5 linked regions of the Macaca fascicularis genome follow. The protein of the gene in region 3 interacts with the protein of the main gene of each other region in a pairwise test. Links are inferred from orthologs where the notes say so. Each region holds a gene or a part of one and is shown on either strand. Other genes may lie near its edges.

What was found. The genes of interacting proteins can lie anywhere in the genome.
Region 1: the proteins of BANP (region 3) and SH3RF2 interact in binary tests that used the Homo sapiens proteins (3 or more experiments, as listed by UniProt). The two-hybrid records come from large-scale screens. The link is inferred for Macaca fascicularis from reciprocal best matches to the Homo sapiens genes BANP and SH3RF2.
Region 2: the proteins of BANP (region 3) and ZMIZ2 interact in binary tests that used the Homo sapiens proteins (3 or more experiments, as listed by UniProt). The two-hybrid records come from large-scale screens. The link is inferred for Macaca fascicularis from reciprocal best matches to the Homo sapiens genes BANP and ZMIZ2.
Region 4: the proteins of BANP (region 3) and POGZ interact in binary tests that used the Homo sapiens proteins (3 or more experiments, as listed by UniProt). The two-hybrid records come from large-scale screens. The link is inferred for Macaca fascicularis from reciprocal best matches to the Homo sapiens genes BANP and POGZ.
Region 5: the proteins of BANP (region 3) and FAM117B interact in binary tests that used the Homo sapiens proteins (3 or more experiments, as listed by UniProt). The two-hybrid records come from large-scale screens. The link is inferred for Macaca fascicularis from reciprocal best matches to the Homo sapiens genes BANP and FAM117B.

Annotation. Positions count from the first base shown.
Region 1 is NC_088380.1:152,722,175-152,727,007, reverse strand, and holds the start of SH3RF2 (E3 ubiquitin-protein ligase SH3RF2), read right to left. Parts: upstream 3,273-4,833; 5' UTR 3,141-3,272; intron 1,984-3,140; 5' UTR 1,878-1,983; coding exon 1,500-1,877; intron 1-1,499. UniProt on the Homo sapiens protein: Has E3 ubiquitin-protein ligase activity. Acts as an anti-apoptotic regulator of the JNK pathway by ubiquitinating and promoting the degradation of SH3RF1, a scaffold protein that is required for pro-apoptotic JNK activation.
Region 2 is NC_088377.1:85,592,740-85,597,429, forward strand, and holds the start of ZMIZ2 (zinc finger MIZ domain-containing protein 2), read right to left. Parts: upstream 3,273-4,690; 5' UTR 3,201-3,272; exon of another isoform or gene 3,019-3,200; coding exon of another isoform or gene 2,841-3,018; intron 1-2,840. UniProt on the Homo sapiens protein: Increases ligand-dependent transcriptional activity of AR and other nuclear hormone receptors.
Region 3 is NC_088394.1:83,976,690-83,980,655, reverse strand, and holds part of BANP (protein BANP), read right to left. Parts: intron 2,854-3,966; coding exon 2,710-2,853; exon of another isoform or gene 2,535-2,709; intron 1-2,534. UniProt on the Homo sapiens protein: Controls V(D)J recombination during T-cell development by repressing T-cell receptor (TCR) beta enhancer function. Binds to scaffold/matrix attachment region beta (S/MARbeta), an ATC-rich DNA sequence located upstream of the TCR beta enhancer.
Region 4 is NC_088375.1:109,754,575-109,759,447, forward strand, and holds the start of POGZ (pogo transposable element with ZNF domain), read left to right. Parts: upstream 1-1,601; 5' UTR 1,602-1,629; intron 1,630-4,873. UniProt on the Homo sapiens protein: Plays a role in mitotic cell cycle progression and is involved in kinetochore assembly and mitotic sister chromatid cohesion.
Region 5 is NC_088386.1:98,501,936-98,506,869, reverse strand, and holds the start of FAM117B (protein FAM117B), read right to left. Parts: upstream 3,273-4,934; 5' UTR 3,086-3,272; coding exon 2,491-3,085; intron 1-2,490.

The DNA.
Region 1 (4,833 bases), on a different chromosome or scaffold from region 3:
GGGAAGGGAAGAGGTTGCTAGGTCTTCGGAATTCAAGGGGGATTTGCTGACCCAGAGATAGAGCTCCTTTCTCTACGAACGAGGCATGTTTGAGAACAATTTGCTTCCCTACCCCCACTCTGCCATTTCCAGACCTGTGGATTCTGATTGATGACTAGACCAGGGGTAGTGGAGGGACTTAAAAAGAAAAAGTCCTTTTCTGGAATGTGTTCACATACAAGCACAATGGCAATAAAAAGTCTACAGTGAAAAAATGTCCCACTTCTTCCCACCCTCATTTCGAATGTTTACACATGCCCTATGGGTGGTTTAAAGATGCAGTGAACCCAGGAAGCGGTAGCCCTTAGAAGGAAAATTTTGGAAAGTTGTTCCAAATGCATATCACAAGCCACTCCTCACTCCTGAGTAAGGAAGCAGTCCTGCAAGACCCTCCCACACACTGTTTGTCTTCTGAGCAGGGAGATGTAGGACCCTGCTGCCAGCATTTAGACTCTAACGCTTGCTCTAGGTAAGACTTCAAGGAATGCAGCTTTGATTTTCTAAGTATGCCAATGGCCCAAGCCACAGCTTTCCGTGTCCACTTTGTTACACTGACTCCAGGGGTGACAGTGCAAATAATTCTGCTGGACTCACAAGGACCATGTCCTTCTTTCCAGATGTGCCCTTACACATTATCCCACAACAAGACTCATAGCCAGGTCAGATGAAGTCCTCGGGGTGTGCTTTCAGTGCTGGACAGAGCGATTCCCATTATCCAAACATGAAAAGCATTAATCTCCTGCGAGGCTTAACTGGGTCTGTTTGGTTTTTTAATTGCAGCGCCTGCTGTGTATCTTCTGTGTATTTCATTCATTTTGCAAAATGAGACACATCTGCAGAGCTTCTATACACAGCTGATGTACTTCACAGCCCAGCCTTCGCTATCAATCAGTCCACCCACATAGACGCTTCCCTCCTGCACTATCTCCCTCGTCAAGTATCTTGATAGCTTCGAACAGATTATGAATGAGTATTGCCATAATAGCACTTTATGACTAGGGGTGGGAAGATGGATTTGGGTAAAATTCAAAAAAAACTTGACATTTGGAAATTTCCAAGAGATCTCAAAAGCAACAAGCAGTTGGATTTGTTTTCTCTTTTTTTTCCCCACCCTCCGTGCATTTCCCAGGCACTGGTTTGGCCTCAGAAGAGCAGAAATCAAACACCAAAAATATAATCTAAAAGGCTTTCCTTGTTCTACTACTTTCTGGACAAGAGGAAAGGAGAACCTAGGAAGCTTTAGTAGTTCTAAAGAGAATTCTTAGATAGATTAGGTAGGCTCAGGCTTCCATCGTATTTGAGTAAAATGATCACTGCCCACAGAAACGTATCACTGGGGAATCACCAGCAGCACTCTGGAATGTTAAACTTGTAGTTAAAAGAAGATAATCTCTAGCTCCTTGTATACACAAATCCAACCTCCATGTGGGCATGATATTAACAAATAAGATCTCTCTTACCCCATCCATGTGGATTCTGATATTAGGCACTAGCCGGAAAGGACTGGCCTGCAGACGTCTGGGGTTGGTCCTGTTTTTCCTGCCATCCTGCAAGGTCATCATGCCGGGCCTGCGGAAGGAGCCTCCTCTCCCGGAGCTCTGCCCTGAGCGCACTCCATCGAGAAGGCGCACGAGCAGCAGGTTGGCCGGCAGCGCCTCGATGCTGCAAAACACAGGCGTCCTGCATTCGGGGCACCGCAGCTCTTTGTGGGCCTTGAAAACCCTCTGTAGACATGGTTTGCAGAAGGTGTGCTGGCAAGGGAGGACTTTGGCTGTGACATCGAGCTTCTCAAAGCACACAGGGCACTCCAGAAGATCAAGTAATGTCAAATCATCCATTTTATTTCAAAACTCCAGTTCCCACCTGGAGGAGCAGAGTCCACATGATAAGGTCAGTTGAGCAACGGGGGCAGAGCTGGCCTCTTGAGAACGTCAGAATTCTTGCCTGCGTGAAGGAGGGAGAGGAGAGAAAAAAAATGTGACTGCTCCGAGAGGTATATCCCACCTACATCGAGGCAGTGTCTCATAAGGCAGTTTGCAAGTACTTTGTTCCGGCACCCAAGTTTCAAATGACTCATTCTGATTCAATGCTAGCAGGTATAAGACTCAACTCGTGCTTGCTGTGAGGATCAGAGGAACACTGAGCACAAGACTGACTGTTCATTGCCTATGTGGCCAGGAGAGCAGAGAAATAAACTGGCCTGCTGAAGTGGCTCCCCAAGCCCTCTCTACCAGCCAGGGCCGGGAAGAGTTCCTTCACCCCTGCCTGGGGAAAGCTCCTGACAGTCTCAATTCTTACAACAAAGCCCCCTCCGAACGCAAGTTCTGTGAAGTTATCTCCTCCTCCTCCTTCCCCTAAATCTAAGTGTATCTGTTATCTGCATGACATGCAGATTAGTTTAGGTCGGTACGTTTATCTGAATCTCATGCAGATGTAGAATTATTTCCTTTACAATATACCTTCCCACATGATGCTAGCAATGAAAAATTTCCATTAGAAACCCATTTCCAAAAATTGTTTTGCCTTAACTACAAGTCAGGGTGCTTGGAAGCTCTGTTTCTTTTCTTTTTTCATCTTTGGTTCTTTTTTTTTTTTTCTCCTCATTCTGATTACCTTAGGCTCAGAGACAATATTCCTCCCACGAGGTAAAGTAGTGCAGCCTGTTTAGTTACTTTGACATTGTTCTCAGTTTCAAACGAAGCAGATAGGAATTCCGGATTGTGGTCACAACCTGTAAAAACCATACTGGGGCAGCATATACAGGTAGGGGTCGTGTGTGTGTGTGTATGTGTGTATGCATGTGTGTGTGTGTGTGGTCTGAAAACAGTACGTATTCCAGAAACAAGTTTCCTTTTGGATGTATGAAAAGAAGCCTCCAGTTTAGAAAAGTGTGGGAAGAAGTCAGCTGTCCCTCACAAGTGCCAGGGCTTCAGTGAGTACTGAGCCCAGAGGTTTGGCAAGAAGGCCAGTGGCTCCACTAGCGACTAGTCAGCAGGACAGATACGACGCGAGAATGAGCGATGGCGCCTCGCCTTTCTAAGACTCCTCTCCAAAGATGTCAGCGCGGCGGCGGGCTGGGGAGGCGTGTGGGGGCCACTAACCTTGTGCGTGTAACCTCTGCTGAGTTCAGCTCAGCCCCCTCCTCCGCGCAGCAGGGGTGCGCGGCTCCCTCCAACCGGCTTCCATTCCCCCAAGCGCCGCTGCTGCCACCGCTTTGAAAACTTTAACCACTCAGTCTTACTCATTTCAAGGGATCGCCTTACCCAGCCCTGTTAACGCTTTCACCGCCAGGCTGCTGCCTACCAACCACGCTTTTGTTGTTGCGGTTGTTAACTTTATGATCTTTCCTTTAGTTAACTGAATTGTTTCTGGGAAAAGATGGTAAGAGGTAAAATATCAGCCAGTCCCTGAGGCCAAGTATTTACAAAGTTCCTATTTTCACCTTTCCCGGTTTCTCTAGTATCCAAGGAGTCGGAACCTGCTCCATTATAAACATACCAAAGTGATTGTGTTTATTTTAAACCTTCATAAGGATTTCCTGGGAAGGTCAAAAGTAAAAATGGTCAAGCTATGAAAATAAGGATAAGCCAGACACCTAGAAAATGTTGCTCTTTGAAAATCATAGTCAATCTCTACATTTAGAGATAAGAGGGACTTTAGTGATCTTTTTGCTCAATCTGTTTCCATTAAGAAACTAGTGTCACATATATACACATACGTGAAAAATCAAAGCACAGAGAAGCTTTTTCAAAAAAGGAAAAACAGTGGCCTCCAAGCTCTCTTCCTGCCTGTTATCCACTGTAGTCTTTTCATATCCTCAGATTATGCCTATATTTCTATTTTTTGATTTATCAATAATACATTTCATGTAAAACTACAAAGGTATCCATTTAAGTGAATAATAACGATCTTAATGCCAGGGTAGTCCTTATCTGTGTCAACCACTGTTCTAAATACCTTACCTATATTAGCCTTTTAACCCTTTAACAACCCAAGGATACACTAAATTATTCTTTACTTTCATTTTGCGGATGAGGGAACTTGAGACACAGAGAGGGTAAATAACTCATCCCGGGAGTCACAGCTCCACCACAGAAGGCAAGTGATCTGTGCTCTTAACAATGTCATGGAGTGATATAACTTTAAGAGGCTGGCCGGGTGCGGTGGCTCACTCCTGTGATCCCAACACTTTGGGAGGCCGGACGTGGGCAGATCACGAGGTCAGGAGATCGAGACCATCCTGGCCAACATGGTGAAACCCCGTTTCTACTAAAAATACAAAAATTAGCTGGGCGTGGTGGCACACGCCTGTAGTCCCAGCTACTCAGGAGGCTGAGGCAGGAGAATCACTTGAACCTGGGAGGCGGAGGCTGCAGTGAGCCGAGATCATGCCACTGCACTCCAGCCAGGGCAACAACAACAACAACAACAACAAAAAGAGGTGAAGAGGTGGTTCAAGGGAGCTAAGCCTCCTCTAAGAGGGCAAGAGGTCAAAAGATAATGGCCAATACTGGCTTCTCATTTTTTCTTACAGATGAGGCAGCTGTGCCCAGAAAGATCAAGAGATTCTTTGAAGTTGTCCAGTGAGTTAGGGGCAGAATTGGGACTAGAAACTAGGTGTTTGAGGCCAGGTGCGGTGACTCACGCCTGTAATCCCAGCACTTTGGAAGGCTGAGGTGGTGCAGATTGCTTGAGGTCAGGAGTTTGAGACCAGCCTGGCCAACATGGTGAAGCCCGATCTCTACTAAAAATACAAAAATTAGCTCAGCATGTTGGCTGCGAGTGCTTGGGAGG
Region 2 (4,690 bases), on a different chromosome or scaffold from region 3:
ACAGGCGTGAGCCACCGCGCCCGGCTAATTTTTGTATTTTTAGTGGAGATGAGGGTTCCCCACGATGGCCAGGCTGGTCTTGAACTCTTGACCTCAAGTGATCCACCCACCTCTGCCTCCCAAAGTGCTGAGATTGAGAGGTGTGCACCACCGTGTCCAGCCAATAATTTCAAAATAAGAAGTTTAATTACAATACAACTGCTACCACCAGCCTTCTGTATCCGCAGAACTGCTGTGACAATCCTTCCCTACTGGAAAGCTGGTTGGGTTGGCCTGGCCACTTTGCTGTCCCAAGAAGCACAGGGAGGGAATCTGGCAGGCAAGCAGAGGTGCCTCCTCCCCCCACCCCTGGTCAAAGGCCTCAAAGTGCAGGCAGCACTCCGTGCAGAACTGCCTCATTTCAGGTCACCTAGCGCAGCAGCTCCTCAACTACAGCACATCAAAACCAGCTTGCAGCTGGTGATGACAGGCTGCCTAGCTCCACCTGAAGTCAGTAGGCTGGGCTGGGGCCTAAGCCTGTAATTTCTAACAAGTTTGCAGCTACTACTGCTGCTAGTCCAGGAACTATAGTTTGAGAGCCTCAGATCTAGGAAATGGAGTGAGCTGGGAAGAAGGGGCACAGGGCAGGTACAGGGAGGGGAGGAGCCCACAGCAGGCTCCTATGTCACATGGGCCTGGGGAATTCCACCCCTGATGCTTCTCTGCTGTGGACAGAGACCACAATTTCCAGTTCCCTCTGAGCTTACTCTTCACTGCACAGGGGGATTTCCTGCCGACCCGAACTCATGCCTCTGGTCTCCTCTCTGAGGACAGTCTCTTTAGAAAGACTTCCAGTCTCCAGGTCTGGTATCCTTGACCCTCTGCCCCTGATCATAGGGAAGCGTTTCTACGTTGTGTGTGTGCAGATCCTCCTCCCATCTCCTGGCTCTGAGTCTGGGCTGGGAACAGCCTGGAGCCTGGAATCTGGATTCCAGATCAGGCAAGGCCCATGCCCACCAAGAGTCTTAGTGCCTGGCACTTTCCTTGTAAACTAACTCCAGCTGGAAGCTAGGACCCCTTGAAAGATGGACAAGGTCAGTCTAGAGGGCCACAAGGCTTTCTGGGGGTCAGATCACATCTTCCTCTAGACAGAGCTACACAACTCACTACCCAGACCTCTCTTACCCAAGTGTCCCAGAGTAGCTGCACCCCCAAGTCTCCTGGTTGGCCTCCTGAGCCTTGTTCCATGCCACCTCTCTGCCTGCCTTGTCAGTTAGGAGCAGGACCAGCAAGTGGGCCCTGTGGCAGGCAACCCTTCTCAATAGGTCACAGATCAGGTCTCACTGTCTCCAAGACTGCAGGGTCAGGATCCAACCTGGGTGACAATGGAGTCAAAGGGTCTTGAAGAAATGATGGCTCTGGAATGGGGCAGGAGCGGGGTCCCTAGTAGCAAAAAGTGGGGTGCTCACATGTACAGGTAGCTGAAAGTCCTGCCCCCTCTACCTGTAAGGCCACAGTACTAAACTGCCTAAGCGTGGGGCTAAGGCAGGATGCGGGGTTCATCAAAAAGTCCAGGAATAAGCAATGGCCCAGGCATGAGACGTTTCAGTGAACAGCTGAAGGGACAACCTTAACCTGGCATCAGTTTACAATGTGTTAAGATGGGTATCTGGTGGCATCCTAGGACTGAGGACACATGACCACCTTCATCTCATCAGCCCTTGGGAGCTCAATCCCAATAATCAAGATGCTCCCCAAACATCTTAGGCCTGTCCTTCAGAAATCTACACCGGCAACTGTCATCTGCTTGTTCTCCTCATTTACACTTCCAGCTTGTAACTACCCCCTGGGCATGACAAGGGCCATTCAAGGGTCAGTACCCCTGAAAGTTAAGATTCCTTCACTTCTCCTGTTTCACTAAGCATCAAGGGATGCCCTCTGGTTCTAGCTTGCCAGAACTTGGTGGTGAGTCTGTGTCCATCCTATCCATAATCACCACGGTCTCAGACCAAGTCACATGTTCTATGTGTGTCCCTGTGAAATCTGCGATGACACAAATTAAAGACACCACCATGGATGTTCTGTAATACTGGAAAGAGGGTACCCCAGGGAGAAGGAGAGGCAGAACACTGCAGGGCAGAGGGTCCAGGGAATGGGAGGAGAGACAGGGTAGGTGGAGGGGTAAACAAGGCACCGGGTGGGGGTGCCGCGGTGAAGGACACCTGGCACTAGGGAAGACAAGGCACCTCAGGGGAGCAGGGCATCCTCACGCCTGAGCTTCAGTATGTCCAGTTTGCAAAGGGGTGTCCTCATCAAAACTGCCAGCTGGGGGCTGGCAGCTCAGCGTCGTTCAGCCCAGGAGCGGAACAGCTCCTCGGCGAGCAGGTGACGGCCTCAGCGGGCCCCCACATTGCCCTGTTGTGGGCACGTAAGTGGGAGCGGAGGGGCGTACCATGTAGGTGAGACTGCCTGGCCCCAGAGCCAGGAACGATCAGGTTGGAGCGAAGGCCCGGCCAGCCTTCATCGCTCAGGAAAACCCCGAGCGCCGCTTACACCCCTCGGCCAGCCTCCAACAAAGACTCAGGGGAGGGCTGGACGACCCTGACGCCCACGGGGCCGAGCCTGCCCAAGACCACGACGCACGCGTGGCAGGTGCCGGCAGGTGGGCGGCAGAGCCTTCAGCCCCAGCCCGGCTGCGAACCCTACCGCGGCGCCGCAACCGAACTGGGGCGCCCCGGGCGACTGGCTACACCTGCCCGCCCGCACCTGCCGGCCCGCACCTGCCGCACCTGCCCGCCCCCGCCGGCCCGCACCTGCCCGCGGGCGGCGTTGCCAGGGGCCACCCCCAGGGCCCCGCTCACCTCCGCCCGGCCTGGCCCGGCCCCTCGCCGTGGCGGCCCCCGGCCCGCGCCGCTCCATGCGCTCAGCCCGCCCTCCGCGACGCCCGCCGCCCCGGGGCCGCCGCCACCCGCGCCATCGCGCCGCCGCCCGCTCCGAGGGCACAATGGAGCCGCCGCCGCGCCGTTCATGCATATGCATGACGCCGCGCAGCCGGCCCCGCCTCCCAGGCCAGAGCAGCGGAGCCCCGAGCCGGCGCTCGGGGCGGGGGCGGCCGCGAACCTGAGCGGCCCAAAGCGGCGGGGTGGGGCCAGGGCCGCAGGTAGCTGGGCGGGCAGGAGACGCAGCCTGATCGCGACTTGCGCCCCCAGCCCCCTCCACACCTTTCCAAACGCGGCGTCGGCAGAGCCACCGCGCGCTTCCTGCTCGCAGTCCGCCAGGAGCGGGGCGGGGCCGGGCGGCGGAGGCGGGGCCAGGACGCCGGGGCGGAGCCGAGTGGGCGGGGGGGCCAAGGTGCCGGGGCGGGGTCGGGAGGAGGAGGCGGAGCCAGGGAGCCGGGGCGGGGCCAGGGTTCGGGGCGGGCCCCGGCGGAGGAGGAAAGGAAGAGTGAGTCCTTGCCCTTCCCCCACCCGCCTCGCCCGCGCCTCCCCTGCCTCCTGGGAGTCCATTGCTCTGGCCCGGCGGGCGGGGACATGACTGGGAGACGCAGAGACCCGGGGTGCCTCTTTTGGGAGGGGATCTTATTAAGGGACTCAGGAAGCCCCTCGTTAAAGCAGAAAATCAAACTTAACTGAACAAGTTCGCTTTCCTTACTGCCCAGTTCTCTCTTCCCAGCGGTTCTACTCCTGGAAAAAGTCACTATTGAGCTAGTCTAGCCTGATGGAATAGCCTCTCTGATCAGTTTCGACCTCTAAAATGCTATTATCAGCCTTTAAGTTATTCTTGACTTTTCCTACCGTAAGTTGAGGAAGACCACATTCTCTCAACTACCCATAATTAAATTTTCTTAATTGTGGTAAAATATACATAACGTAAAACTTACCATCTTAACTGTTTCCAAGTGTAGTTCTGTGGCACCAAGTACGTTCACATTCTTGTGCAACCACCATCCGTCTCCAGGACTTTTTCATCTTCTCAAATGGAAACTCAATACCCAGTAAACACTAGCTCCCCATTCTTTCCTCCTCCCAGCCTTTGGCATTCACTATTCTACTTTGTCTCTAAATTAGACTACTATAAGGACTGCGTATAAGTGGAACCATATATTATATGTCTTTTTGTGACTGTCTTACTTCAGTTAGCACAATGTCCTCACTTTCGTCCATGTTGTGGCATGTGTCAGAATTTCCTTTCTTTTTTTTTTTTTTTTTTTTTGAGACGGAGTCTCGCTCTGTCGCCAGTCTGGAGTGTAGTGGTGCAATCTTGGCTCACTGCAACCTCCAGCTCCCAGGTTCAAGCTATTCCCCTGCCTCAGCCTCCTGAGTAGCTGGGACTACAGGGGCGCGCCACCACGCCTGGCTAATTTTTTTTTTTTTTTTTGTATTTTAGTACAGACAGGGTTTCATCATGTTGACCAGGATGGAATCGATCTCCTGACCTTGTGATCCGCCCGCCTGGGCCTCCCAAAGTGCTGGGATTACAGGCGTGAGCCACTGCGCCCAGCCCCTTCTTTCTTGTGGCTGAATAATATTCCATTGTATGCATATTCCACATGTAAGTTATCCATTCATCCATCAATGGATACTCCACAATTAATTTTTGACATTGTTAAAATTTCTTCCCTGAAGCCCGCCTCTGAACTCTGTGCTCTATTTCTTTTGGGAATCATTCCTTCATTGAACAAATGTGGCAGGCCTGCTGTCCAACAGTCCCT
Region 3 (3,966 bases):
AGCTGGGAAGGCCTAATGGGAAGGGGTGAACCTGAGCTGGAATGGAGGAACCACACCAGGGCCTGGGGAAGGGGCGAGCCTGAGCTGGAACGGAGGAACCACACCAGGGCCTGGGGAAGGGGTGAACCTGAGCTGGAACGGAGGAACCACACCAGGGCCTGGGGTGGGTGGCTGCAGGCCACAGGAGGCTGGGGTAGGGGGGCCACTGCCTGGGATGCAACGCTCCTTCCCCCGGACAGCTGGAAAGGCAGCTAGGGACCAGGGTGGGTGAGGACAGTGGGGCACAGGTCTGGGCTGGCTGGGAGGGACTCACTTGCCCTCCAAGGATGGTGGCCAGACCCATGTTCCAGGCAGAGGCTGGTGGAGGCACTGCCCCTGCTACAGATGGTTCAGGGAGCCTATGACACCCGCAGGCCACCCTGCATTAAGACAAGTGTCTTCCCTGCAAATAGCACCCCCCTACCCTTCCAATCCACTGCTCCAGGGAACAGGCCCCACTCTCCACTTTGAGGATTGGCCACCCCCACAGGCCAGCGACCTGCCTTCCCTCCTAAGGGAACCCCATCTTCTCAGAGCCAGGCCCTCACAGCCGAGTCACAGGTTTTCCTAGAATTAGCTCATGTGTGTGACCCTGCTCCGACCAACGGAAGATGCCAGGCCATTCCCGAGCGTTGCTGGGGTGGGAGCTTCAGTGGATAAGGAGGCTTAACCAGAAACCCGTTTCTGTTGGGTGCAGTCACGCCTGCAGGGCCACCAGGAAGGCCTTCGGTCACTTCCCAGTGGGGCAGAGCTAGCCTGAGGACAAGCTGAGATGGTAAGGCAGAGAGCTGTGCAGCTGGTGACAAGCTACCGCACCCTGCAGCTGCCTGGCCTCGGATAGGCAAACCTGCTCACCACCAAGTCCAACCACACTGGGGTTTTCTGCAGGGAAAGCGGCCCGTTAAGCACACTGTCTTCCTTCGCTGTTACGATGGATCCTAATTAAATCATTCACCTGGGGCCTGCCAGGGAGGGCATGGTGACAGAGAAAGCTTAAAGGAAGCTAGGGGTGTAAACACCAACCATGGGACACAGGTTTCTTCAATTGTGAAATCTGGAAATGACCAGAAACTTATAATGCAGCAGAAGCTCTCAGGCATGGCCCCCACATCTAGATTCCCAGGCGCGGACCTAACTGCCCTCCTGCAGCGCTCCTGTCTGGAACAGCACAAGGGGCCGCCATGTGTCCTAGCATGGGCTGACCACGCCTCGCTGTTCTTCACGGGCAGGTCAAGGTTCACACCACATAAAATAAGCGCTGCTCAATGAGTTTGCCTTCACCATCCCACCCACCCCCCACCTCCCGCCTGCCCATTCTGTGCCCATGACTGTCATGTGCTACCAGCCCATCTCCAGTGGGGTCAGCGACAGTGTAGAACCAAACACCATGCAGAGTACAAGGCATGCCCGTGCAGGGGCCACCACACCCATGGGCACAGAGTACAGGGCGTGCCTGTGCAGGGACCACCGCGCCCATCGGCACGGCAGGAAGGCTCAGGCTGCAGGAGGGGCCAGGCCTTCTACAGGACATGGGCCCTTAAACTCTGGGCCCGCAGCTGCCATGCTGTGAAGACGACGTGAGTGTCAGGCGAGCACTGACACCGTCGCGTGGCTGCTGCCACTGAGGGGCTGCAGAACTGCCCAGCCGGGCGACCTGCACACCCTGGTGAGCGTGGGCTCTACTGAGCCCAATTCTTCAGCAAGCGCCTCCTGAGGAGGACTCCACTCCTCCCGAGGGCTGACGGGCACACCCACCCTCAGCAGCGCCCGGGGAGCAGGGAAAGGCTGCTCAGACATCTAGGATTTTAATTCTAAGCATTGAAGATGGATGGCATCAAGACACAGGGGGATCACCAGTGCTGGGTCCACAGGAAGGAGAGGAACAGACCCAGAGACAGCAGCCAGAATGTTCCCAAAGGGCTGGGCAGCAGCCAACCACCCGGCTGGAGGAAGAACAAGGAAAAGGTCCCGGTTGGGCACGTTCCCAAACCAGGCGGCACGGAGGCTGCGGGACCAAGCCTGCTCCGGGACACAGGGCCACCTTCCGCCTCCTGTGTTCAGAGCGAACAGCCCATGGCATCACGGGCTCTTGTCTGGGCCTCGGCCACCCTGGGGATGTCAGCACAGCCGCACCCTCAGGCGCTTCCGCCTGCGAGGTCTGGAGATGCTGGCCATGAGCCTACCAGGCCATCCACAGAGCACAGCAGACCTGCACTTTGTTTCGGCGGACGCCAGGGTCATGATGGCCCAAGGTGGCGGACGCCAGGGTCATGATGGCCCAAGGTGCTGGCTCTGCCCCAAGCTGAGGCCTTTGACAAGGGGCAGGGAGCTCTCGAGCTGACAGGGCCCCCATGCTCCCCAGCCCACAGGAAAGGGCTCCGTGGAGGGAGCACAGGGCAGAGCTTCACTTCTGCCCCTGAACTGACAAACATTTCCACAGGACAGTCTCCAGAATCAGTTGAAATTTAGAACTGGGGCAGGATCTACCTTCTCACCTTCACATTCATGGTGCGTGGGAGACGTGGAACCCTCAGATGGGCATCCGTGTCCGATCACATGCCCTCCGCACGGGAGGAGTCACGAGAAAGCCCCGGGGCCACGTGTGCCCGGTGGCAGCGGCAGGCGGCCGTGCCATCACTTCAGTGTCCCGGCGCGGGGCCCCAGACTCACCTGCGCCCCGGCCGTGTGGTCGCTCACTGGCGCCAGCTGCACGTACTGAACCTGGATGTCGCTGCCCTGGAGCGGTGATCCATCCACGCCCGCCGCCGCGGGGTCCGAGGAGGCCACAGCGATCAGCTGTGCGCCCTGCAGCACCTGGAGAGACACAGTCCCGTCAGTGGCATGGCCCACAACCCACGCGGCTCTGCAGACTGCACACCCTGAGCGGCAGGGACACGGCCTCAGGGCCACACCGAGGACTCAGTGGCACATCCTGTCTCCCCATCACTCTTGGGTCGCGTCAGGTCCAGGGAGAGTGTCACTGAGCCTCTGCTGGATCTGTAACTCCCCCTCAAGCACCTACAGAGCGGACAAAAGGGGGAAAAAAAAGCAAGGCAGAGCTTCCAGAGAGAGCAAAAGCCAATGCCACAGGGCCTCCTGGAAAAATCTCAATGGCAACCATGAAGAGCACAGGCTCCCAGAGTGCCAGTCAGGGCTCAGACCCAAGCCAGCACCATGAGGGAGGCTGAGACCCAAACCCTCCCCATTCCCAAGGCAGAGTCACCTCAAGGCCTCAGGGAGAGCAAAGGTGGGCACTGAGAACTCAGGAGAAGCTCGCAGGAAAGCGAGGCCCGGTTCCAAGAGGGGCGGAAGTGAGTCCTGGTGGCAGAGTCCCGCTGGCCCTCCCGACCTTCTACCACCTCCCAGAGTGTGGGATGAGAATGGGGGACAGGTGAGGGGCCCCTGGGTGGGTTCTGGTGACCCCATCGCCTGTGAGCACCTACACCCACTTCCCACTCAATCCACCAGGCGCTCCAACAGCCAGGCAGGCAGCTCCGGGGTCAAGAGGGCCCAGGCAGGCAGGTGGGCGGCCTCAGCTCTGAGGCACTCGACATGGGCTGTGGGGTCTTCACTTGAGGCTGCGTCCCACTATGGGAGGGCCAGGAGATGCACCCCACAACTTCCACACAGAACCGCACTCTACACACTGAGAGTCTCACTGGTGGCCCTGGGAAGAGCAGCAGCCCCTGTCCCAGGGCGCCCCACCCCATGGAACCTGGCCACAGCGGGCCTCCCGTGGGACCTGCCCTGGACGACAGCAGCACTGCACAGAGCAAGCATGGCCCCTGCAAACACACTGCAGAGACAGCCCCAGACCAGGGATTTCACCTACAAGTGCTTTAAAGACTAGACTTCACCTACATGTGCTTTTAAAAATGGTTATGTTTCTAAGCAAAGTTCACCTGCAATGCTAGAAGAGAAGCCTTT
Region 4 (4,873 bases), on a different chromosome or scaffold from region 3:
AATGTAGATATATATAATGAATTAAAGTAATTACACGACAGCATAAAATAGGATTTGAGTTTCATATAGTCTTTTGGTGATTGATCCTAGAATCTTAACATGGGCTTGCTTCTCCAGATCAGGTCTGGTAAGTCTTCAGAAGTATTTTCAGAAGGATAGGGATTCTTCTCAGTCAAATAATGAAGTCCTTCCTAAGCATCCCACACTAGTGGAAATCACTCACATGGTTTTGGTATGAAATGTAATGAAGCTAGGTGGTGGCAGCGTGTGTATGTGTGTGTGCACAGTGTGTGTATGTGTGTGTGCACGGGCAGGTGCATACAATTTGGAATGCCTACTTCCACTGCCTATTTTCACAGTCTGGTGGTTCGAATGGAGTGTGTATATAAAGAGAACGAATAAACATAATTCTGGATTTCCCCTTTCTGCACCAAGTACTTGGTTTGAAGCAAACATTTGTGTATTGCTTAAATAGCAAACATTTTCAAATATTCAAGGAAAATATTAATTTTTATAATCTCAGAAAGCAACAAAGGACAAAATTTCTCAGCTACCTGAGAAGAGGTAGTTTTTGTTTGGGGAAGAATAAACAGGTGGATGGTCGTTTGAGTGGACCAAACAATTTCTTTGAGCCAACCCATCTCAGCCTTGATTGCAGCAAAAAGCATAAGGATGTGGAGTGTGTGTGGTTTCTTAGAACTGGGGATCTCTGCTGAATCTAGTCACAATGGAAGCAAAGCAGTTTCCATCACAATAATCGCTTTAACAATCGTGTGCCACTTCTTTCCAGGATCCAGAAGGGCATGAGGATCAAAATGGCTTTTAAAAGTTCTTCACTTAAACAAGGCCACAGCCACAAGGCTACTTGGCCGAGTGTCTCTTGAGAAAGAGTGAGTGCCATTTTGTTCTTTGTTCCAATGACAGTTGTTGGTGCCACTGGGCCTCACCACCTGGCCTGTATCATGAAGTCCTCCTCTTGACTGGGTCTAAGCCTTGAGTGGAAAGTGGGGGAGCCTCCCAACACTTCCTTGGAAACTCTAGGGAAGTAAATTGGGGAATATTTTCTTTGGGAGTCTCATTTTTCTCACCAAAATTTAGATACAGCTTCTGAAACTAATTATTCTTTTTTCATTATAAAAAATATTTTCCTTTATTTATTTATTTGCAGGCCCAGCCAAACTTGACTAGAAAAGAAGCCCGGGCAGGGGTTTGGATGAGCCCATGACGTGCAGCACGCTCCGACCAATTGGGAGGCCATGAAAAAGGGGAGGGCGGAAGTGACGAGCCGTATCCCTCCGCGGGGCGAGAGGGTCGGTGGGGGGAGTCGGCGTCTCTCTCCCCCGCGCCAGCTCCCGTACACGGAGCCGCATTCCTTGGCCCCCCCACCCCCCTCCCTCGGGGCCCCCCCCGCCCCCCTCGGGAAAAAAATCCACCCCAAATCACTCGAACCCGAGGGAGGCTTCCTTTCACCCTTGGGGAGACGAGCTTTCAACGGTTACCTCTTCTTCGTCTCCCCCCAAGCCCCTGTCCCCTCCCTGCTCCCACCCCCTTCTGGCGCCGGGTGTAAGGTCCCTTTAAGGCGACGGCGCCTTTCTCGGGTCAGACTACCGGCGGCGACGACCACGGGAGGTGAGTGAGCGAGCGAGCCTTCTCTCTCCCCACCCCCTGCTCCCGGGGGTTCCGTTATCTTTTCGCTCGGCGAGGCGTTCCGAGGCGAGACAATGAGAGGGGGATGGGGCCGGTACGCGCGGGGGTGGGGGCGGGGGGCCGGCGGCGCGCGCCCCCGCCCACCGCGAGTGGCGGCGCGGCCCGCGGCAGGGGCGGCCGCAGGGCGCGGTGCGCGAGCGCGAGTGTGTGTGCGTGCGCCCCGGGCCGCGGGAGCTGCGCGAAGGGCCGGCGGCGGAGGCCCCTGCCTGCCGGCTGGCCGGCCACCCCCGCCCCCTGGCGCCCGTCGCGGCGCGCGCGCGCGCACTCGCGCCCCACGGCCCTGCACACAGCCCGACGTCCACACGCACGCCCGGCGCGAGGCGTCTCGGAGGAGTGGGCGGCGCGGGCGCGGGCGGTGGCCCGCTGGGGAAGGGGCGGGGGCGCGGGCGGCGGCGAGACGGCGGAGCGCGGCGGGAGGGGCCGGCGAGGGGGCGAGGCCGGGCGGCGGCGGGGGCGGGCGGCGGCGGAGCGGCCCCTGGGGGTGGGGGTGCGCGGCCCTCCCCGCCCGGTCCCCGCTCGGAGAAGGAGTGGGGCGCTCGTTTTGAGCGGGAGGAGGAAAATGAGTGATTGCTGAGCCGATGCCTTGTTATGTAATCTCTCCTTGGTCTAATAGTACATCCTAAGCCTTAGTGCACTGCAGCTAGTTTACGAACTCTCCTCCCTCGGCCCCCAAATTTCTTTAGGGATGGCGCCGTGATTTATCAAATGGGATGGGGCGGAGAATCTCTATTTTCTGGTGATTATGTCCTGCCGCGGTGGGCGCCATGTTTATCCCGGGGACTATTTTCTTTAGATTTTTGGCAGCTTTTGCAAAGGAGTACTGTCATTAATCTACTTGCTTTCCCTCTTTCTGCGTGTTCTGATTTCCTTCTTCTCCAGATGTGGGATTCTCTCAAACTGCTAGTAGCACTTGTCTTGGACATTCTTAGTTCAGAAAAAGGTAGTGCTGATGAGTCCTCAGAGTCATTTGGTGGCCAGTCTCATTTTCAAAATGGAAATTAAGATGCAGTTGGACTATCTCAGAGCAGCCGCTGTCTTGATGCAGGCGGTGTAGCCCGTCCCTCCAAGCCCGTGGACACCTCTCACCGCAGCTCAAGACTCCACAGAAATGGGGTTTTACTTTTTTTTTTGAGACTAAGTTTCACTCTTGTCGTCCAGGCTGGTGTGCAAGTGGCACGATCTCTGCACACTGCAACCTCCGCCTCCCGGGTTCAAGTGATTCTCCTGCCTTAGCCTTCCTAGTAGCTGGGATTACAGGCATGTGCCACCACGCCCGGCTAATTTTTGTATTTTTAGTAGAGACGGGTTTTACCACGTTGACCAGGCCGCTCTTGAACGCCTGACCTCAGGTGCTCCGCCCGCCTTGGCCTCCCAAAGTGCTGGGATTACAGGCGTGAGCCACCGCTCCTGGCCGGGGTTTTACTTTTGTAGGCATTTACCCAACTAGAGGAAAGGGAAACGGAGGGGGCAGGGAGGGCTGCTCCTTGGCAAACGATTAATTTCGAGACACCATTGCTCAGGGTGTGAGAGCTTAAACTCTGAATTCGAACTGTTAGTACAATCATTCTCAACTTCGGGGTGCATAAAAAGTAACTCGAAGATTGTTAAACGTACAATTTGGGGGAGCCTCATCCCCCAAATTTATTCGAATGGAGCAGAGGGGAGTTGTCATCTCTACAGTTTTAAATGAGCAGTCCTGCGGCTGAGGCTGATTAATGTGACCACTACGTTGAAAATTACTGGTCTAACATAAAAGTGTTCAAGATGTTGAAACAAATGACACCTTGTGCCCTTGATTTCCTTCCCTTTTCCAGAGCTGTGTTGGTGTATCTCAAACTAAGGAGGTACATGGACTCTTGGGACGAACGTGATTTAGAGTTTCCACTCCCATCTTGAACTAGTGGTATAATATAGGAAAGCGGTTCTCGAAGTGTGGGCGGATGACCTGTGGGGATCTCCTCTTACCCTTTCAGGAGAGCCTCAAGGTCATAATTATTTTCAAAATAATAGTAAGATGCTATTTATTGTTTTCACTGATACGCTGATGGTTCAAAAGCAATGCTGGGTAAAACTACTGACGGTACCTTAGCACAAAGCAAGTCAGTGGCACCAAACTGCTTACTTGAGAATGCCCTTGAAGCAGTAAAATTTATTATTGTATTTTTATCTTTTTGAGACGGAGTTTTGCTCTGTCGCCCAGGGTGGAGTGCAGTGGCACTATCTCGGCTCACTGCAATCTCTGCCTCCCGGGTTGTATTTTTAGTAGAGATGGTGTTTCGCCATTTTGGCCAGGCTGGTCTCGAACTCGATGGCAGGCGATCCACCCACGGCGGCCTCCGGAAGTGCTGGGATTACAGGCTTGAGCCACCGTGCCCCGCCTGTTGTTATTAAATCTTAGCTTTTGACTACTTGTCTTTTTAATTTTTAAGAATTTGTGATGAAATAAACATGGATAAAGCATTTATGCTGCCTACGGAGGTGTGATTGTTGTCATGAGGGAAAAGCATTTGTGGGATTGGGTTGTGAGTGGCTTATTTCATGGAGTACCATGCGACTGGCAAACTGTGGTTTTTCACATTTAGTATTTGGCAGGTATTTCTTGAAAATGAAGTGAGCTTGTCACTTTTAGGAAAACAATTGACAGTATTTATTACCAGTGATAAAATTTGGGTGAAAATTAGAATTTTTAAAAAGTTGACAGCTGGAGTTTGACAGCTTCCTAGTACTTAAAAAACTTCCCTTATGATATCAGTGGTTAAGGACTGTAATATTTAAAAATGTTGTATAATATGTCATTTGGAAGATGGGCATAACTTAGTAAATCTGTATTTTGCAGATGACCAATGCATGATGTTGCAAAATCAAGCAAAAGTAAAAGAGCCTTTGAAAATACCAGATATAGCAATGGATTTTAACAGTAAAAAAGTGGATTGATGTGGTTTCAGATTCCAAAATGTTGCTATCCTTTAAGAAACTACTATCTGGCCTAGCATGGTGGCTCACTCCTGTAATCCCAGCACTTTGGAAGGCCCAGGTGGAAGGATAGTTTGAGTTGAGCCTAGTTCAACATAGTGAGACCCTGTCTCTATTTATTTAAGAAAAAAAAAAAAAGAAACTACCATTTGTTGAGTTTTAGTGTTTACCAATATCTACAGTTATCTGAAAA
Region 5 (4,934 bases), on a different chromosome or scaffold from region 3:
CTCCTTCTGCCACCTCTACTGCCCATTTATAAGCAGTTCTCCTTCCCTTCCACCTGATGCACTATGCTGGCTCCAGAAGGCTGAAGGACTAAAGCAGTTTTGTTCATATCTGTAAGAGTTACTTAACTAGTGGCTGGGCACAGTGGCTCATGCCTGTAATCCCAGTACTTTGGGGAAGCCAAGGTCGGCAGATCACTTGAGGTTGGGAGTTCAAGACCAGGCTGAACAACATGGAAAAACCCCGTCTCTACTAAAAATACAAAATTAGCCGGTCATGGTAGCACATGCCTGTAATCCCTGCTACTCGGGAGGCTGAGGCAGGAGCATTGCTTGAACCCGGGAGGTAGGCGTTGCGGTGAGCCAAGATCACGTCACTGCACTCCAGCCTGGATGACAGAGTGAGACGTCGTCTCAAAAAAAAAAAAAAAAATTTACTTAACTAAGTACATGTAATTTTGGCCTGCTATATATTTCCCACATTCTATCTTACACATCATGATGTCACTTCCTTGATATAATATAAAGACATGGTCTTTGGAGTACAACTGACCAAAGTTCAAATAAATACCAGCTCTGCAACTTGTTACTTAACCTCTCTAAAAGCCATAGTGAAGGTTAAATGAGATTTTGCATAAAAACTACCTGACACATAGTAAGAGTTCATCAGGTGACAGAGGTTATGAAGCGGGGAGGTGAAGTCTAATACTTTTATCACAGTTTTAGAAAAGCATTCTGCATTCTCAAAAGATTTAAAATAGTGCTCTGGACCGGGCAATCCTAGCACTTCGGGAGGCCGAGGCAGGCAGATCACCTGAGGTCAAGAGTTCCAAATCAGCCTGGCCAACATGGTGAAACCCTGTCTCTACTAAAATACAAAAATTAGCCGGGCATGATGGCGGGTGCCTGTAATCCCAGGTACTCGGGAGGCTGAGACAGAAGAATTGCTTGAACCCGGGTGACAGTGGTTGCAGTGAGCCGAGATCACATAACTGCACTCCAGTTTGGGCGGCTGAGCAAGACTCCCTCTCAAGAAATAAATAAAAATATAAATACAAATAAATAAAACAGTGCTCTAGTTCTAATTAGAAAGCACTATTCGGGCAGCGCGCGGAGGCGCACGCCTGTAATCCCAGCATTTTGAGAAGCCGAGGCGGGCGGATCACCTGAAGTCAGGAGTTCGAGACCAGCCTGGCCAACATGGTGAAACACTGTCTCTACTAAAAATTAGCCGGTTATGGTGGCGGTCGCCTGTAACCCCAGCTACTTAGGAGGCTGAGGCAGAATCGTTTGAACCCGGGAGTTAGAGGTTGCAGTAAGCCAAGATCGCGTAACTGTACTCCAGCCTGGGTGACAGAGATTCTACCTCAAAAAAAGAAAACACTATTAATCATTTTCCAGGGCAATTATCTCTAAAAAAAGTATTATCTAAAACTTTTCATAAACAGTAAGAAAGAGTCATCCTATTCCTTCCATTTCGGAAACTATTTCATCTGAATTTGTTTCCTGAAATTCCCAACCATTCTGCCTGGAAGATTCTAACAGAACTATCCCAGTAAGGGAAAGACAAAGATATATGTTGACAAAAATGAATACATAATTAAAAACCACATATTTATTTTCTCAAGGCAACAAGATGATAAATTTTATTCCTTTCCACTTCCCACAATTTGAATTTTTCTTTTGAGTTACTCTTTATGAATGACTCCAATGGCACCCACAGCTCCATTCACGACTTTCCCCAAGAAAGCTTCCAGGTAAACAGAAAAACAACGAATGTTAGCTCCCTAAAACAATAACAAGATGGAGACAAACACTGGATTCTGTTTTTCTACATTCAAACAACAGAATCAGTACACAAAATCAGAAATACACCCAGAACCTCAGACAAAACCCATAAACCTTCCTAAGGAATCTTGCTTAATTCTCACTTCTTGCTACCCATTTATCAAAGTCTTGGAAAATGCTAAAACACGGGTCTCAGCCTCGTCTGTTCAGTGATCCAAATCTGCCACTGCTAATGCATTCAGTACCCCAGATTTGAAACTGTTTTGTGAACAGAAATACTTAGCAGCAGCAGATACGGGCTATGCCAACATTAACCTTGTGCCTAAAACAAAGTGATAAACCACTCCTAGCCTCACCCTCAAAGGAGGGTAAGCAGTAACGACTCCTCCAGGAATACGGCCAGGACGCCAGGGTTATCATTAACACTCATCAGCTCAAGCCCAAGGTTTAGCCACTGCACCTCCACCGCCAGGGAGCCGCGCGGGGCGGGCAGAGGAATGAATGAGACGGGCGGGCGGGGCGCAGGGTAGGCCCGGGAAAGGCGGGGCCGCACTGCCCGGTCCCCACCGCCCGACACCGCCCCCAGCCCCGCCCCCAGCCACCCGGGCTCCGCGGCAGCGCTGCATTCCCCGCGCGATTGCAGCGCGCGCCCGGGACTCCTTCCCGCCGCCGCCTCCCCCTCGCTGCGCGACCCCCAGCACTTACCTGCTTTGCAAACCGGGGCGCTAGGGCTCCTCTTCTCCGGCGAGCTTCGGCTCTGCTCCGGAGACCTCCTCCGATGCCGGACGCGGGCTGGGGGTGGGGCCGCGCTCACCTCGCCGGTCCACAGGTGGGTGGGCGACGAGCTGGGCGACGACACGGTGCCCAGCAACGGCGGCGGTGGCGGCGGCCGTGGGGGGCTCCCGCGAGCTCCAGGCGCGGCGCCGCGCGTGGGGCTGGTGCCTCGCGTGGACGTCGCGGACGCGCCCGTCTGCGTGGCCACCGTGGGGCTGGTGCGCGCGGCCGCGTTCCCGCCGCCGCGCGTGGGGCTGGTGCTGCGCAAGGCGGTGCGCGGGCCGCCGCCGCCGCCTGCGGGGCCTGAGGCGCCACCACAGCAGCCACCGTTGTTGTTGCCGCCGCCGCCGCCGCCGCCGCCGCTCCGCGTGGGGCTGCCATGTTGCTGCTGCTGCTTCAGCTGGAACGGAACCGTCGCCCTCATGGGCTGCAAGCGGCTCCCGGGTCCCCCGGCCGTGGCGACCGCACCACCCCCAAGGGAGCCGGCCGGCGTGGGGGACCCATTGCGCCTCACCCGCTGGGACATGGTCCCCCCCTCCCCGGTGACTGGGCGAGACGGGGGGTTTTGTTGTTGGGCTGCAGGGGGAGGATTCTCGAGGCCGGAGGGCAGGCCCCCGCGCGGGGTGACGAAGCTGGACTCCGGGGTGCAGGGGGCGACCGGGCCGGGACCGGCAGCAACGAGGTGGTGCAGCCGCCGCCGCCGCCGCCGCTCCTCATCAACAATAGTGTCTCCTCCGCTGCCCCCGCCCCCCACGATCGCCCATTGGTGCAGCGTCAGCCGCGCTCGAGCCGCTCTACCGCTCCCATTGGCTACGAGCAGCTCGGGTCCCGGGCCCCCGAGGCCTTGAGAGCCTGGGTGTGCGCGGAGACCGTCTGCTCTTTAAAGAGAAAGAGACCCGCCCCCCGCGGGGAGGGAGCGGAGGAAATGGGCAGTGTGTGTATGTGTAGTGTGCGCGCGTGTGTGTGTACACGTGAGTGCCCGTGTACGCGCGCGCCTAGCCACGCGCGCCTTTCCCTTCCCGCAGTGGGGAGCCCTGGGGACTCAGACTCTGGAAGGTTGCCAAAGGAAATGTCCGGACCCGGAACAGTTCCCAGGGATGGTCTGAAGCCTTTTCCGCATAACTCATTTCCTTACCCCAGTATTCACTTGTATTCACATGTACGCGCCTCTCCTTCGGGCTTTTATTCTTAATGTTTTTGTTCTGCCCTAATTCCATCTACCTATGGACAGGGCTCAAAAGGAGAAGAAATTTAACAAATCTTAAGTGGCATTTTACACCCCTCTCCTTTTCTTATTTTTTAGAGCTCTACAAAGAGGCAAATCTCAGAAAGATTAAATTTGCCTGTTAGAATGCGGTTTTAGATAGTATCTATGGAGTTCAGTTACCACATGTTATTCCTACCCTCCTGTATCTCAAGTAATCAAGACTATTTTAATCAGCTGCTTCGCTGTTCCCTGATACCTTGGAAAGATGGCTGCTACCTTACCAGTCTGTAAAATGCTATAGTTTACAGAGGGCCTTATTTGATTCTACACGATCATTGTTTGAGACAGAACTGGGCCAGCCATCCATGTTTTTGTCTAGTGGAGGAAACAAGTCTTTGGTGTGGCAAAGACCCAGGAAGGCAGGCAGTGACACTAGTTCTAAAATGGCCTAAAGGGCTCCTTATCAAGAAAATAAAAAATGGTGGACCCAAAACCTACACTCCCACCTCTCTGGCTATAAATTGCCTATCCATTACCTCTTTTCCCTGTACTATTTTTATTAGTTGTACATGCTAGACAGATTTCGTCGTGTAAAAATGTGGGAGTGGAGACCATAGTATGATTCACTCTGGACCTGAAATCCTACTGGATCCCTGTGCGCGGTGGTGGAAGACTTTTGTTTTGTTTTGTTTTTTTGAGACGAAGTCTCGCTCTGTCCCCCAGGCTGGAGTGCAGTGACTCGATCTCGGCTCACTGCAACCTCCGCCTCCCGCGTTCAGGCAAATCTCCTGCCTCAGCTTCCCAAGTAGCTGGGATTACAGGTGCGTGCCGCCACGCCCGGCTAATTTTTGTATTTTTAGTAGAGAAGGGGGTTTCACCATGTTGGCCAGGGTGGTCTTGATCTCTTGACCTCATGATCCGCCCATCTCAGCCTCCCAGAGTGCTGGAATTACAGGCGTGAGGTGGAAGGCTTTTAAAGACCCAGAGAGGAGACCGGGTGCGGTGGCTCATGCCTGTAATCGCAGCACTTTGAGAGGCTAAGGCGGGCGGATCACCTGAGGTCGAGAGTTGGAGACCAGCTTGACCAACATGGAGGAAACCCCATCTCTATTAAAAATACAAAATTAGCTGGGCATGGTGGCACATACCTGTAATCTCAGCTACTCGG